Linked DNA regions of Alligator mississippiensis. The protein of the gene in region 1 interacts with the protein of each later gene in a pairwise test. Links are inferred from orthologs where the notes say so. Each region holds a gene or a part of one and is shown on either strand. Other genes may lie near its edges.

Evidence for each region.
Region 2: the proteins of EMD (region 1) and TRAF3IP3 interact in binary tests that used the Homo sapiens proteins (3 or more experiments, as listed by UniProt). The two-hybrid records come from large-scale screens. The link is inferred for Alligator mississippiensis from reciprocal best matches to the Homo sapiens genes EMD and TRAF3IP3.
Region 3: the proteins of EMD (region 1) and MEOX2 interact in binary tests that used the Homo sapiens proteins (3 or more experiments, as listed by UniProt). The two-hybrid records come from large-scale screens. The link is inferred for Alligator mississippiensis from reciprocal best matches to the Homo sapiens genes EMD and MEOX2.

Annotation. Positions count from the first base shown.
Region 1 is NC_081831.1:28,900,270-28,904,015, reverse strand, and holds the start of EMD (emerin), read right to left. Parts: upstream 2,657-3,746; 5' UTR 2,558-2,656; coding exon 2,476-2,557; intron 2,367-2,475; coding exon 2,283-2,366; intron 2,206-2,282; coding exon 2,125-2,205; intron 2,015-2,124; coding exon 1,928-2,014; intron 1,841-1,927; coding exon 1,770-1,840; intron 1,213-1,769; coding exon 1,163-1,212; intron 1,091-1,162; coding exon 859-1,090; coding exon of another isoform or gene 818-858; 3' UTR 1-817. UniProt on the Homo sapiens protein: Stabilizes and promotes the formation of a nuclear actin cortical network. Stimulates actin polymerization in vitro by binding and stabilizing the pointed end of growing filaments. Inhibits beta-catenin activity by preventing its accumulation in the nucleus.
Region 2 is NC_081837.1:43,723,997-43,727,742, reverse strand, and holds the start of TRAF3IP3 (TRAF3-interacting JNK-activating modulator), read right to left. Parts: upstream 2,426-3,746; 5' UTR 1,347-2,425; exon of another isoform or gene 717-1,346; intron 305-716; exon of another isoform or gene 1-304. UniProt on the Homo sapiens protein: Adapter protein that plays essential roles in both innate and adaptive immunity. Plays a crucial role in the regulation of thymocyte development.
Region 3 is NC_081828.1:164,603,984-164,607,729, forward strand, and holds the start of MEOX2 (homeobox protein MOX-2), read left to right. Parts: upstream 1-1,350; 5' UTR 1,351-1,656; coding exon 1,657-2,167; intron 2,168-3,746. UniProt on the Homo sapiens protein: Mesodermal transcription factor that plays a key role in somitogenesis and somitogenesis and limb muscle differentiation. Required during limb development for normal appendicular muscle formation and for the normal regulation of myogenic genes.

The DNA.
Region 1 (3,746 bases):
CAGAATAATGGATCCCGCCCCACATGGCACAAAATAACCTCCGATTCATGGAAAGACAGCTGTTGCTAGGCAACCCCCAAACAACTTCTCCACTGGGGGGGGATAGGAGTTGCCTTACCCCACCTGCAAGGGTGGGAACCGGGATGACTGAGTTCTCTGGGCTGGAGTGGGGCAGGGCTGGGGGTAACCTGGGGGTGGCTGTTAGGGCCTGAGGGTGGGAGGGGCTGGGAGTGAGTGGAGGGGCAGGATTGGCACTGGGGGGGGGGTGGCTGGGGGAAATTGAGGGATCCAGGGTGCAGGTCTGTGTATGGGGGCAGTCCCTGGACTACCAGGGGAGCAGGCTGGTTGGGCAGGATTCTGGTAGTTGGGGTGTCCCATTGGAAGTGGGGATGGGGGGGTCTCTGCAGTGTGGGGCTATCCCTGAGTGCACCTTGAGGGGGGGTTAGGAGGGAATGGGGGGCCTTAAATACAGGGGAGTGGTCCCCAGGGTGCCCGGAGGAGGTCTCAGGGTGTAAGGAGGTCCCATGGGAGGTCCATGGGAAGTTTTGGAGGGTTCCCCAGGATCTGTGTAGGAGAAAGTCCTTGGGTATTGGGGGGCTCCAGCTGTGGGGGGAGGGATCCTCAGTATGTCCTAGGGAGGGGTTCCTGGGTGCATGTGTGGGCCTGGACAACCCCTGAGAGGTTTTGGTGGGGCCAGTTATGGAGGCCCTGGTGTTAGAGGCTGGGGCCTGGGTGTGGGCAGTCTCTAGGTCTGTGCAACAGTGCCTGGGGGCCCCTGGATGCGGGCGGCTGGGCTGGCTGTGGGGAAGGGGGGTTCCTAGGAATCTCTGGTTGGGGAGCAGGGTGGACCGCGGCCCCTCAGCCCTGTAGGCTGCGGGGAAAGGGGTTGTCGCTGGCGCCGCCCTGGAGAGCGAAGTAGACGAAAGTGAGGAAAGCGGCCACGGCCCCGAACACCAGCAGCTGCAGCCACAGAGGCAGGAAGCGCCGGGGGGCGCCGGGAGTCGCTACGCCTGTGCCCGCGCCCGGCCCGCCCCTGGACCCGGGTCGGATGGAGGGGCGCGGCGCCACGCGCTGGTAGGCAGTGCTGTCCCTGAAGGGGAAAAGCGATGAGTGGGGGACCGCCCCCGCCCCGCCCCGCCCCGCCTCCCAGACCTACGCTCACCTCTCAATAGCATCCCCCCAGGGGCTGCTGGCGCCGGGCTCCTCCTTGCCCTGCGGGGAGATCCCACGGCCAGTCAACAGCGCTGCCGGCCCCGCCCCACGCCTCCCTCTACAGGCCACTCCGGGAAGAACCCTTCATTTTCATAGCCACGCCCCGGAGGGAGGGGCGCGCGGGTTCTATTTGCATCTCCGCAGATCGCTTGCATATTTGCCACGCGGGGGCTGCCGGGGGCGCTAGGGTCAATGCTGGAAATGAGGCCCCGGCGTCCCCGGAAGGGGCGGGTCGGGGCATCTTGGGCAGCCCCTGGAGTTCCTGCATTGGAAGTGGCGGCGGGTCTCTCCTCAGTGGAGGCGGCGACCCGGGACGGGAAGTGATGTATAGAGACCGGGTGTGGTTCCGTGTTCGGCGCCGCTCCCCAAGCAAGCAGCGGGGTGTACCTCCCGCATCAGGGGGGGGTCCCTGAATCGCGTGCGCCCGGCATGCGGGAGCCCGCATGCTCGTGCTCTGGGCGTGCCTGGACACCTAGGTTCTCTGGGTGTGTCCCTGGCCCGGCCCCGCCCCACCGCCCCCAGTCCCGCAGGCCCCGCCCTATGTGTCCCTCACTCACAGGCCGTAGCGGGTCGCTGTAAAGCCGGGCAGGGGGCTCCTCTGTGTAGGAGCCCTGGTAGGTATCCAGATCTGGCGAGACACACAAGGGGGCTGAGACCTGGGGCGACCGCAGCTCCTCCACCAATGGGGAACCCGAGGCCCAGCTCCCCAGCTCACCTTCGCGCCTATAGCCACGATTGGGGAGTACGGAGTGGTCTGGTGTCATGTAGGATTCCCGGATGTAGAGCCTGGAGGGACTCGGGTCTAAGGGTGTGTGGGAGGAGTTAGTCTGACCCCCAGCCCCCAAAAACCCCAACGGTGCCGCTCACTCCAGCCCTGCAGTCCCCTGCCAGAGCCCCACAGGCCCCGCTCACCCTCTGCCGGGTATCGGGCCCGAGCCCCGTCCTCGGGGTACTTGTAGAACTCTCTCATGAAGCTCTCAGTAGTGAGGGGCTCTGCAGGGGGGAGAGGGGAACAAGGGCGAATCAATCCAGGCCGGGGCTCCCCGTCTCCCCCCTCACCCGTCACTCACCTGGCGGCTCCCCCGGGCCCCCCTGCGTCGTGCGCTGCCGTTCCAACTCGTAAACCTTCTTCTCGTAGAGCTTCCGTGTGGAGCCTGGGCGAGGGGGTGGGAGGGTCAGAACCCCCATAGCCCGACCCCTCACTCCCGACCCGCAACCCCCTTCGCCCCACATCGGGACCCCAGTGGCTCCGCACCCTCATACCCACGACTGGCCCGTGCGAGATCTGGTAGCTCTTGAGTTTGGCAATGAGCTCGTTGTCCGTCAGGCCCTGGTACTGCTCCATGCTGCCCGGAAGAGGGGTGGGGGAGCTTGAACGCAGGCGTCGGGGTCTCCGGGAGCTCCGCGGGCTGGGAAGAGAGGCTACGGGGCGGGAGCAGGGGGCGCGGCGGAGCTGGCAGGGGTCTCGATCTCAGGCCGGGCCAAGCTGGAACCGCAACGACTAGGAAGTGACGGGAAGCGGGGCGGCCCCACCCCCAAACTACGTTACCCAGAGTCCCCCACGGCAGCCCGAGCGCCGCCGCAGGGAGGTGAAGCTGGGTGGGCCCGGACACCTGGGTTCTCTCCCAGCCGGGGAGCTCAGAGACGGAAGCGTGCGCAGAGCGGTGTCGGGGGCACCGCCGGACTCTAGGGCGATGTCGGGACACCCGGGCTCTCTGCGGGGTCGAGGAGCTCTGGCGTTGCGCTCCCCGCAACCGGCCGCCCCCCCGCCCGACTCACCCCGGCCCGCTTCCTCCACGCCCCACCCCCGCGCCCGCCCGCGCCCCACAGAGCAGGCGGCTCCTCGGATCCTTTCTCCCCTCTTCTTTATTCGACAGTTTTTATTCCTTTCCTCGCTCCCCTTTTCCCCTGTCTTTTTTGGTCGATACATGTCAAGGGGGCCAGGGGTCAGCCGGGGGGGGGGGGAACTTAATAATTACGTCATGATCTCCCCTACCTCATGCCCCCTGCGGGGGTGATACTGGGGTGGGGGGTTATTGGGAGGGAGGGGCCACAAACCCAAAGTCACAGTCACGGCACAAAACAGACACGGAGAAATAGAGAGCTAGGGGGTGCGGGGCGCCAGGGTTCCATCATCCCTCCCCTGCGTGCCCCACGTGTGGGCGTCTCCCCCCCGCCCCCACACTCCCGAAGGCCTGGGGGGGTACAGAAGGTTGGGGGGCCTGGGGGCAGTTGTGAGGGTCCCGATCCAGCCCCAGGCCCCCCAGGGCTGCGGGGGGGGGGGGGGGGGCAGCGGCACATCTCGACGCCCCCTGCTGGGGCTGGAGACCTGGGGAGAGAAACATGGTGATGGCAATGGTAGCCCCGCCTTTTTACCCTGTCCCATCCCCCTTCCTCCTCCAACCTGCCCTGGCCACACCTCCTTTTCCCCTGACCCCACCCCAGCCCAGCCCCTCTGTGCACTTGCCCCTAGTTACATCTGCTCTCACAGGCCCTGCCCCTGCTGAACCCACCCCATGGCCACACCCTCTCCC
Region 2 (3,746 bases), on another chromosome or scaffold:
GTTGAAAGGTAGACAGAAGGGGAGGGGTACAGAAAATCAAATTCCTCAGCAAGCCCTTTCAGGCTCCTGTTTTTATCTCTCTTTCCCCACCATCACTTACATAACTCTTATCAGCATTGTACCTGAGAGCTACATGTTGAGCAAAGGTGGGGGCTTCAATTAAAGTGAGACAAAGAAAAATTGATTTTAGGAGCCCAAAGAAAAATGAACACAAGAAGCAATTTCATTCTATATTTTTTTGTCTTCAGGGGTTGAGAAATTGCTGACTCTGATGGAAAACCTCAAGGCAACTAATGTTTGTAAGGTGGGTTGAGGATTTTTATAATAAAACTTGCCCTCCAAAAAGCTACCTAACTATAACAGAACCAAAATAGAAGCACACATTTCTTATGCTGCCATGTTGTACTAACTAATTTCCTTTTAAATTGAAAGGGACTCCAGTGCAGTAAGATGACATCCTTTTCTTGTTTGTAAGTAGGCAAAACACATGCTTATAAACAATCAATATGTTGCTTCACAACCTCATCCATCCAACCAAGAAAATAAAGACTCAGATGATTACACTAAAAGACAAAAATCATCTTCTGGATGATTAGGTTGCACTATATGTTTGCTCCGTGCTCACATTTGTTCAGAGATGTGGTTTACCCTTAGAGTTTTTGATGTTCCTGTAATATCCCTAATTCTAATCTCATTTTCTAATCCTGCTCCACCAGGGCCTCTCTGAAACATTACTGGGGTGAACTTTCATTCGGAGAAGTTATCAAATGCAAAAACCCATCATTTCGATACAGCTTTCTTGCTCCTGCCTCAACGTCATCCTACTTTGGACCTCCTCTCTCATGCTCACTTGTGTACACACACGCACAGACACTTTCACAGCACAGCAGGCTGGTGCTGGGGCTGGTGAACAGCTGCACAGGCTCTGAAGTAGACAGACAGATGAGGCCTGTGCTAACACCCTGGACCTAAACATCCTGAAAACCTGAAAGCAACAACTGGACGTGGCTGTGAACAACGCATCTTTGGGACAAAACGTATAGAAATGTCCCTGCTCCCTAGTTCGTCAGCCAAGGGCAGAAATCTCTTTCTCTGCCGGTATCTTCCCACGGTTAAAAAGTGTCTCACCCAAGGCCGGAATTAGGGTGCTGAGCCCTGCACATCCTGTGTGAGCCTTACGTGCTGGGAAGCCGCCCATTACAGACAGCGCCGTTGCCTTCCTGCCTTCCTTGCAGAACCTCCCAACTATGCATCCTGAGCCTTTTCTTTTTAATTCTCTTGGATTTAACACAGATCCCCTTTAGAGCAAGAAAGGAGCAGAAAGAAAGGTGCGGTCCGTTACTCACCGAGCAAGCTGCTGAGGCCTCTCTGACAAGCTACCGGTTTTGTTTTCTTCCGCTACCACCCCAAGTCAACCATCCCCTGTTAATTAGCATGCCCTTTATCTCCCCTTTGCATGCTGTGGCACTCCTCCCTCCAAGGGAAATGAATGAAAGGAAACCCCAACTTGCTGTTAAGTTACAACTTCCCGCGCCAATAATGTGGGCTGAGACAGACATACGTTATCGGTTTCTCCTGTGTCAGGGCTCATTGCTGTTCATCCACAAAGAGCCGTAGAAGTGAAGGTCTTACCTGTGTTTGCGATGGGAGCCCAGAGGTAGACGCACCAAATCACTGATCTTCTCCCCAACCTCTGTTAAGCTTCAAGGCAGAAAGAGAAGGTTGGATATTGGGTTATGGGGCATTAACTGACATCTTCATTCCAGCGACTTCATTGTGCTGCCATTTTTTTTTTTTTTAATAAAACAGGAAATGTGCTAAGCCACAATGCTTATCCCCAGTTCCTGTCTCGTTAGTCTGTGACATGGTACAGAAAGCTAGCAGGCAACTTGAAGCCCAGTTCAGTATGGTGGTTTGGGTATCTTGAGATGTAAGAAGTCTGGACTTTTGCTATCACCAGCCACCGTTATCCCTCACTGCACATGGAAGCGGTGCATGGATCCAGGAAGCTATGCCCACAGCACAGCAGGTCTTTTATTATGCTTGCTGATTCCTGCCAATTCCAAGGGGCCTGGGGTTAGGTAATTCCACCCAGGGTATAAGAGCAGTTGGTGTGAATGGAGCAGCCCTGGAAGAAATCCCTCGGACAAGCTTAGCTCGGGTGACATGGCTCAGCTCTGTGTTACATTGCTTCCATTTTATCTGCCGATGAAACAGCTGCCTTGGGAAGAGGGAGGTGTTTGTACGCTAATCCAGTGTACAGGTGCATGTGTATGCTGTGCTAGAACATGGCAAAGATGCAGCACTTGTAGGGTACATTTGTGTGATTAACCATTTGGCCGTTAATGAAAGAATGCCTTCAAAAAGGTCCTGATGCAAAGCTCCTTGAATTCAGTGGAAAGAACCTAACTAACCTGAATTGGGCCCGAAAAGAATAAACAAGTCTCTTTCAGATTTCTGTATTTCAGGTAGACTCCCCTTCAGTTCTTCATGTGTCCTTGGAAAATACTTTATTATGCCAGCTTAGCTTTAATTTACACCTTGTCTCAATTTCTCCTCTTCTTTTATTTTTTTTTTAAACTCCAACTGAGATGTTATAAAATGTAAACAGCAGAGACAAAAAGAACATGCACATGGCATGTGATCCAATACCATAGTTAATGATGCTGTTTAGATACTTAGCGCTGTTGAGTTTTAGGACTCCCTCCTAACTTCAGTGATGGATAATGTGACCCCTAAAACTTTCAATGTCCTCAGCTCCCATTGAAATCACTGGGAACTCAATGTTTGGCTTGCAGAGAGTTGTGGGTGGTTGTATAACTCGGAACTGATCCCAGTCCCTCCAAATGCTATTATCTGCATTAAGCAATGCTATTAGCTCTTGCAAGAGGTCACTTTGGGTAAGTATATAAAGCTAAGCAAAATACAGCCCAGTCCCTGTTGAGGGCACCTATGCGTTGCCTCGGTGGAAGCAAGTAGTAATAATGGTATCAGTTCAGTAGGAAAGGATGCTGTGGGGCCTGGTTCTGCTCTCGCTGGAACAGAGGAAGAGGAGAACCAGGCCCTATGTTAAAGGGAGTTCATCTTGGGTTTTCCTAACATGTTGAAAATAGATGTCTTACTTAGTGGCTCTTCTTGGGACTCTGTGTGATCAGGAGCCTAGAGATTTAGTACTAAAAATCATGAGGGCTGTTGGAAGAGCAGGAGGCATGTTGGGGGCTGCAATGCTTTGGAGCGGGCAATGGCCACCTCCTCCTTCCAAGAGGAGATCCAAACCCATCCACTGTTAGTTGTGCCCTCTCAGCCAGGGAAATGATTTTGCTGCTTTAAGGAAGCCTCATCTCCAGAGAGGAAATGAAGGCGGGTGGGAGGAAGAGTTGAGAGTAGTCAGTATTGTCTCAGTGGTGTAGGTGCCTAAGTCACTTGGAAAGTCAGAGGCATTTCTAACTTCTAAGGACATGACTACGCAGCAGCCCGTGAGCTTGCGGGCACATGCGTTAAGCCTATGCAGGGGCTGACTGCCCAGCCACGTGAATATGTCTGTATGCGGGTGCAGTTGCATGGGGATGATGCTGGGGTCTACGAGGGCACGTGCTGGCATGCTTAGAGCAGGAGCTGCGCTAGGAGCTTGCTTTGTTGAAGTCACTGAGGCACGTTGGAAAATCCCACCAGAAATGCTCTTTTCACTGACCAGAAAATAACTGTATTTACCTCTGTGCTCATGCCATTAGTCGCTTCCTAATTAG
Region 3 (3,746 bases), on another chromosome or scaffold:
GAGCACTACGTCTTCTGGACCAAGCAGCAGCGCTCATCTCGCAGCGCTGGGTGCTAAGAAAACAAGTCACAGCTCAGGCATCGCCTTTGCTTTGTACGCTTCCTTTTAATATTAGAGCACATATTGAAACGATAAACAATGAAACGCACAAAATATTTCATCAGTGTTGTAACTGAATATTTCCTTTATTCTGAAGCAATATCAAGGGGTGACCAGTGCAAAGCAGCAACAAGACTTACTGCTGCTTTGGACATCACATTAGATGGGATTGTTACAGCTAAAACTAAGTTAACACACTATTTTGTTTTGGGGTTTTTTTTCGAAAAAAAGCATTAGATCTAAAAAATTTAAAAAAAAAGGGGGGGAGGAGGGAGGGCGACTCTTACCGTCTAAAGACTGCTGCAGGTTCCGGCTCAGCCTGAAACTGCCAGGGCAAATGCAGCAGCTGCTGAACAAAAGTTTTTAGATTTTTTTTTTTTTTCGCGCAGAAAGTCTGCAAAACTAATTTCCCACAAAATAGGGCTCAATTTCCGTTTAAGTAACTAGCTCTTGCAAATCTCATGCAATTCCTGATTTTTTTTTCCTATAGCGACTGAAATTCTTTTTTTTTTTTTAATTCTTGACACACGGACTCCAGAATTAAGACACAAATGGCAGGACCCCTGCTGATTTATTTATTTGGGGGCGGGGGTTAAGACAGAAAACGTTGCTTGTGGGTGCTCCCCCTTGCTCACGCACACGTTGGTGGGGGGGTGTACAGGTGGGCTGCGCTGGCGCGCGGCTCCACTGACTGCATCCCCTGCGAGCAGCGGCGTCTCAAACTCTCTCCGCCGTGTCTCACCTGAGACGGCGAAAAGCAGCGTGGGGAGGTATTAGCTGCAGTCAGAGAACAGGAAGATGTGAGAGAACTTGGTCCTTTTGGTGTGTGTTGGGGGGGTTGTTTTGTGGTGTTGATGGCAGCAAGTGTCTTCCACTGACCATGAGGCGCTGGTGTAACCTCCCGCAAACTCACTCCCTGGCCTCTCGGCGCCCGTTTCCCGCCCGAGCCCCGGGGCCAGCAGAGTGCGGGGAGCCCTGTGCAGCGGGGGCCACGCGCGATCGGCCCAGCGGAGCGTTATTCGCGCTGTTTGTTGCTGGTCACCCCGGGTGCGGCAGAGGGCCCGGGCCGGGGCTAAGGGGGCAGGTGTGGGGCCAGCAGGTGAGGCCGGCAGGGGCGCGGGTGCGAAGCGGGCGCCGCCTCCAGCGCGCACACAAGTTCAGGGGCGGATGCGCGCAGCAGGAGCGGAGCCGGCCCCTCCTCCCGGGGGGCGGGGGGGCGAGCAGGCGGGTGCGCGGGTCCCAGGCGGCGGCGGCGGCCCCGCCCGCGGCGGGCTGGGCCGGGCCGGGCCGGGCCGGGTCCTGTCCTGTCCTGTCCTGTCCCGCGGACGCGGGGCTGCGGGACGCGCCGGAGTTTCGGAGGGAGTTTGCACGCGGTCAGCGCGGCGCGGCTGAGCCAGCCCCCGGCTCACGTTACACGCGCCTGTATTTATAACCTCCCGGTAAGCGGCGGGTTCCCCCTCAAAGCCGCGGCGCGGGACCACCTTCCCCGCCGCTCCCGCTCCGCGACAGCCGCGCGGCGCCGGGACCTGGCCCTGGATTACCCGCGCCCCGCATGCCATGGATCACACCCTTTTCGGCTGCCTGCGCAGCCCGCACGCCGCGGCGCAGAGCCTGCACCCCTTCTCCCAGTCCTCGCTGGCCCTGCACGGACGCTCCGACCACATGTCCTACCCCGAGCTCTCCACCTCGTCCTCCTCGTGCATCATAGCGGGATACCCCGGCGAGGAGGGCATGTTCGCCAGCCAGCATCACCGCGGCCACCATCACCACCACCACCATCACCACCATCACCACCAGCAGCAGCAGCACCAGGCGCTGCAGACGAACTGGCACATCCCCCAGATGTCCTCCCCCCCGGCCGCGGCCAGGCACAGCCTGTGCCTGCAGCCCGACTCGGGCGGCCCGCCGGAGCTGGGCACCAGCCCCCCGGGGCTCTGCTCCGGCGCCTCCAGCCTGGGCACCAGCACGCCCACGGGGGCGGCCTGCGCGCCAGGGGACTACGGCAGGCAGGCTCTATCCCCGGTGGAGACGGAGAAGAGAGGCGGCAAGAGGAAAAGCGACAGCTCAGGTAAAGGCTTCCCCTTGCATTGGGGGCCGGGGGGAGAGGGTGGTTGCCTCCTGCCTGAGGGCCCCGGCGACACCCGGCTTCGGAGCGGGTCGTGCCTTGACCTTCCCTCCTGCAGCCCGTGGGGCCGGGGCATGGACACGCCGGCACGTGACAGCGCCTGACAGGCCGGGCCAGGAGGTTCCCGCAGGGCCCGGGCCCGGCGGGGGCAGCTTCCTCCTGGCGCGCTCCGCCGCCCCCCGCGGGAGCCCCGCGCCCAGCTCACCCCGGGGTCAGGGGCCGGGGCCGGGGGGCTGGCGCGGCTCCCGGCGGGAGAAGAGCTGAGGGATCGAACAGTTCACTTGGCCTATCTGGGGGGAGCCCCTTGCCCCCCTCCGCCGTCAAAAAGTAAAATCGAAAAGTTTCTCCCATAGTATCTTGGTATTGGTGAGCCGCGCAGGGAGATGGTGCTTGATCCTGGGGCTCGGCGACAAGTTTCCCCCGTGCTCAAATGCCATTCTTGTGAATGGCTCCGCCACGGTAGCAGGGCTTCTCTGGGAAGGGATGGCATTTCTAGTACACGGGGAGGAAAGAAGGTGTGTGAACACGTGCACACCCACCCTCTCTCTCCTGAGATGTGGGCACGCACACACACACACGCACACTAGTGGGACAGGCACTGTAGTAGGACATGCATTCACACTCTAGTGGGACAGATGCGTCACAGTCTGGTGAGACGCAGGAGGTAGTGGGATAGGGCAGTACACACACACACACACACACACAGAGTAGTGAGACATGCAGGAGGTAATGGGATAGGGCAGTGTGTGCAGACACTCTCTCTGTGTCTAGTGAGACAGGAAAGTGTTTCCCCCATTGGAAAGTCAGGAGCAGACAAACCAAGTTGTACACTACCAAACTTTGCAAAACCGGGCTCTGTGTTTACAAGTTGGAGAGAGTCATGGCTTCAATGCTGAACACTAGTAAATATTTGGAAAAAATCCTTTCACTTTCTCTTCTCTGGCAGCAGTTGGTTTTTCTTTATAAAACAGAGTGGTTCTCCCCCCCCCCCGCCCCCCCGTCTTTTTTTTGCTCTCCACATCATCCAGAAAGCGTTGTACCCCGACTCGCAATAAAACACTAGGTTAGTTAGTAAGCTTCTTATGCACTAGGGAATCTATTGCTTATATAAAATAAAAATATACTTCCAACTATAAAAAAGATGCTACTTATGGGCATTTATTTGGAATGACATCTATATCTTATTTTATGAAACAAATTGCATGTACTTGACCAGGTGAAAGATGTGGTGATTATTTTCACCAGTTTCTAATGAAAATAATTTTAAGCCATATGGTGCATGAGAGGAGTCTGTGAACTCATCAATTTATTTACAAAGGCAGAAAACAAGAGAGAATTCATCACTAATTTATAATGCTAGGGAAATGTTCATTACAGTTTTTCATTTATTGCAGTTTGCAATGAAAAAGCCCACACCCGTGCTGAAATCGTATCTATCTCTGAAGTCAAGGGTGTCTTTCCAATGGCTTTTGAACAGTATTGATTGAGACTTTAGTTGTGATGGCTTCAGTACAATGGTGTA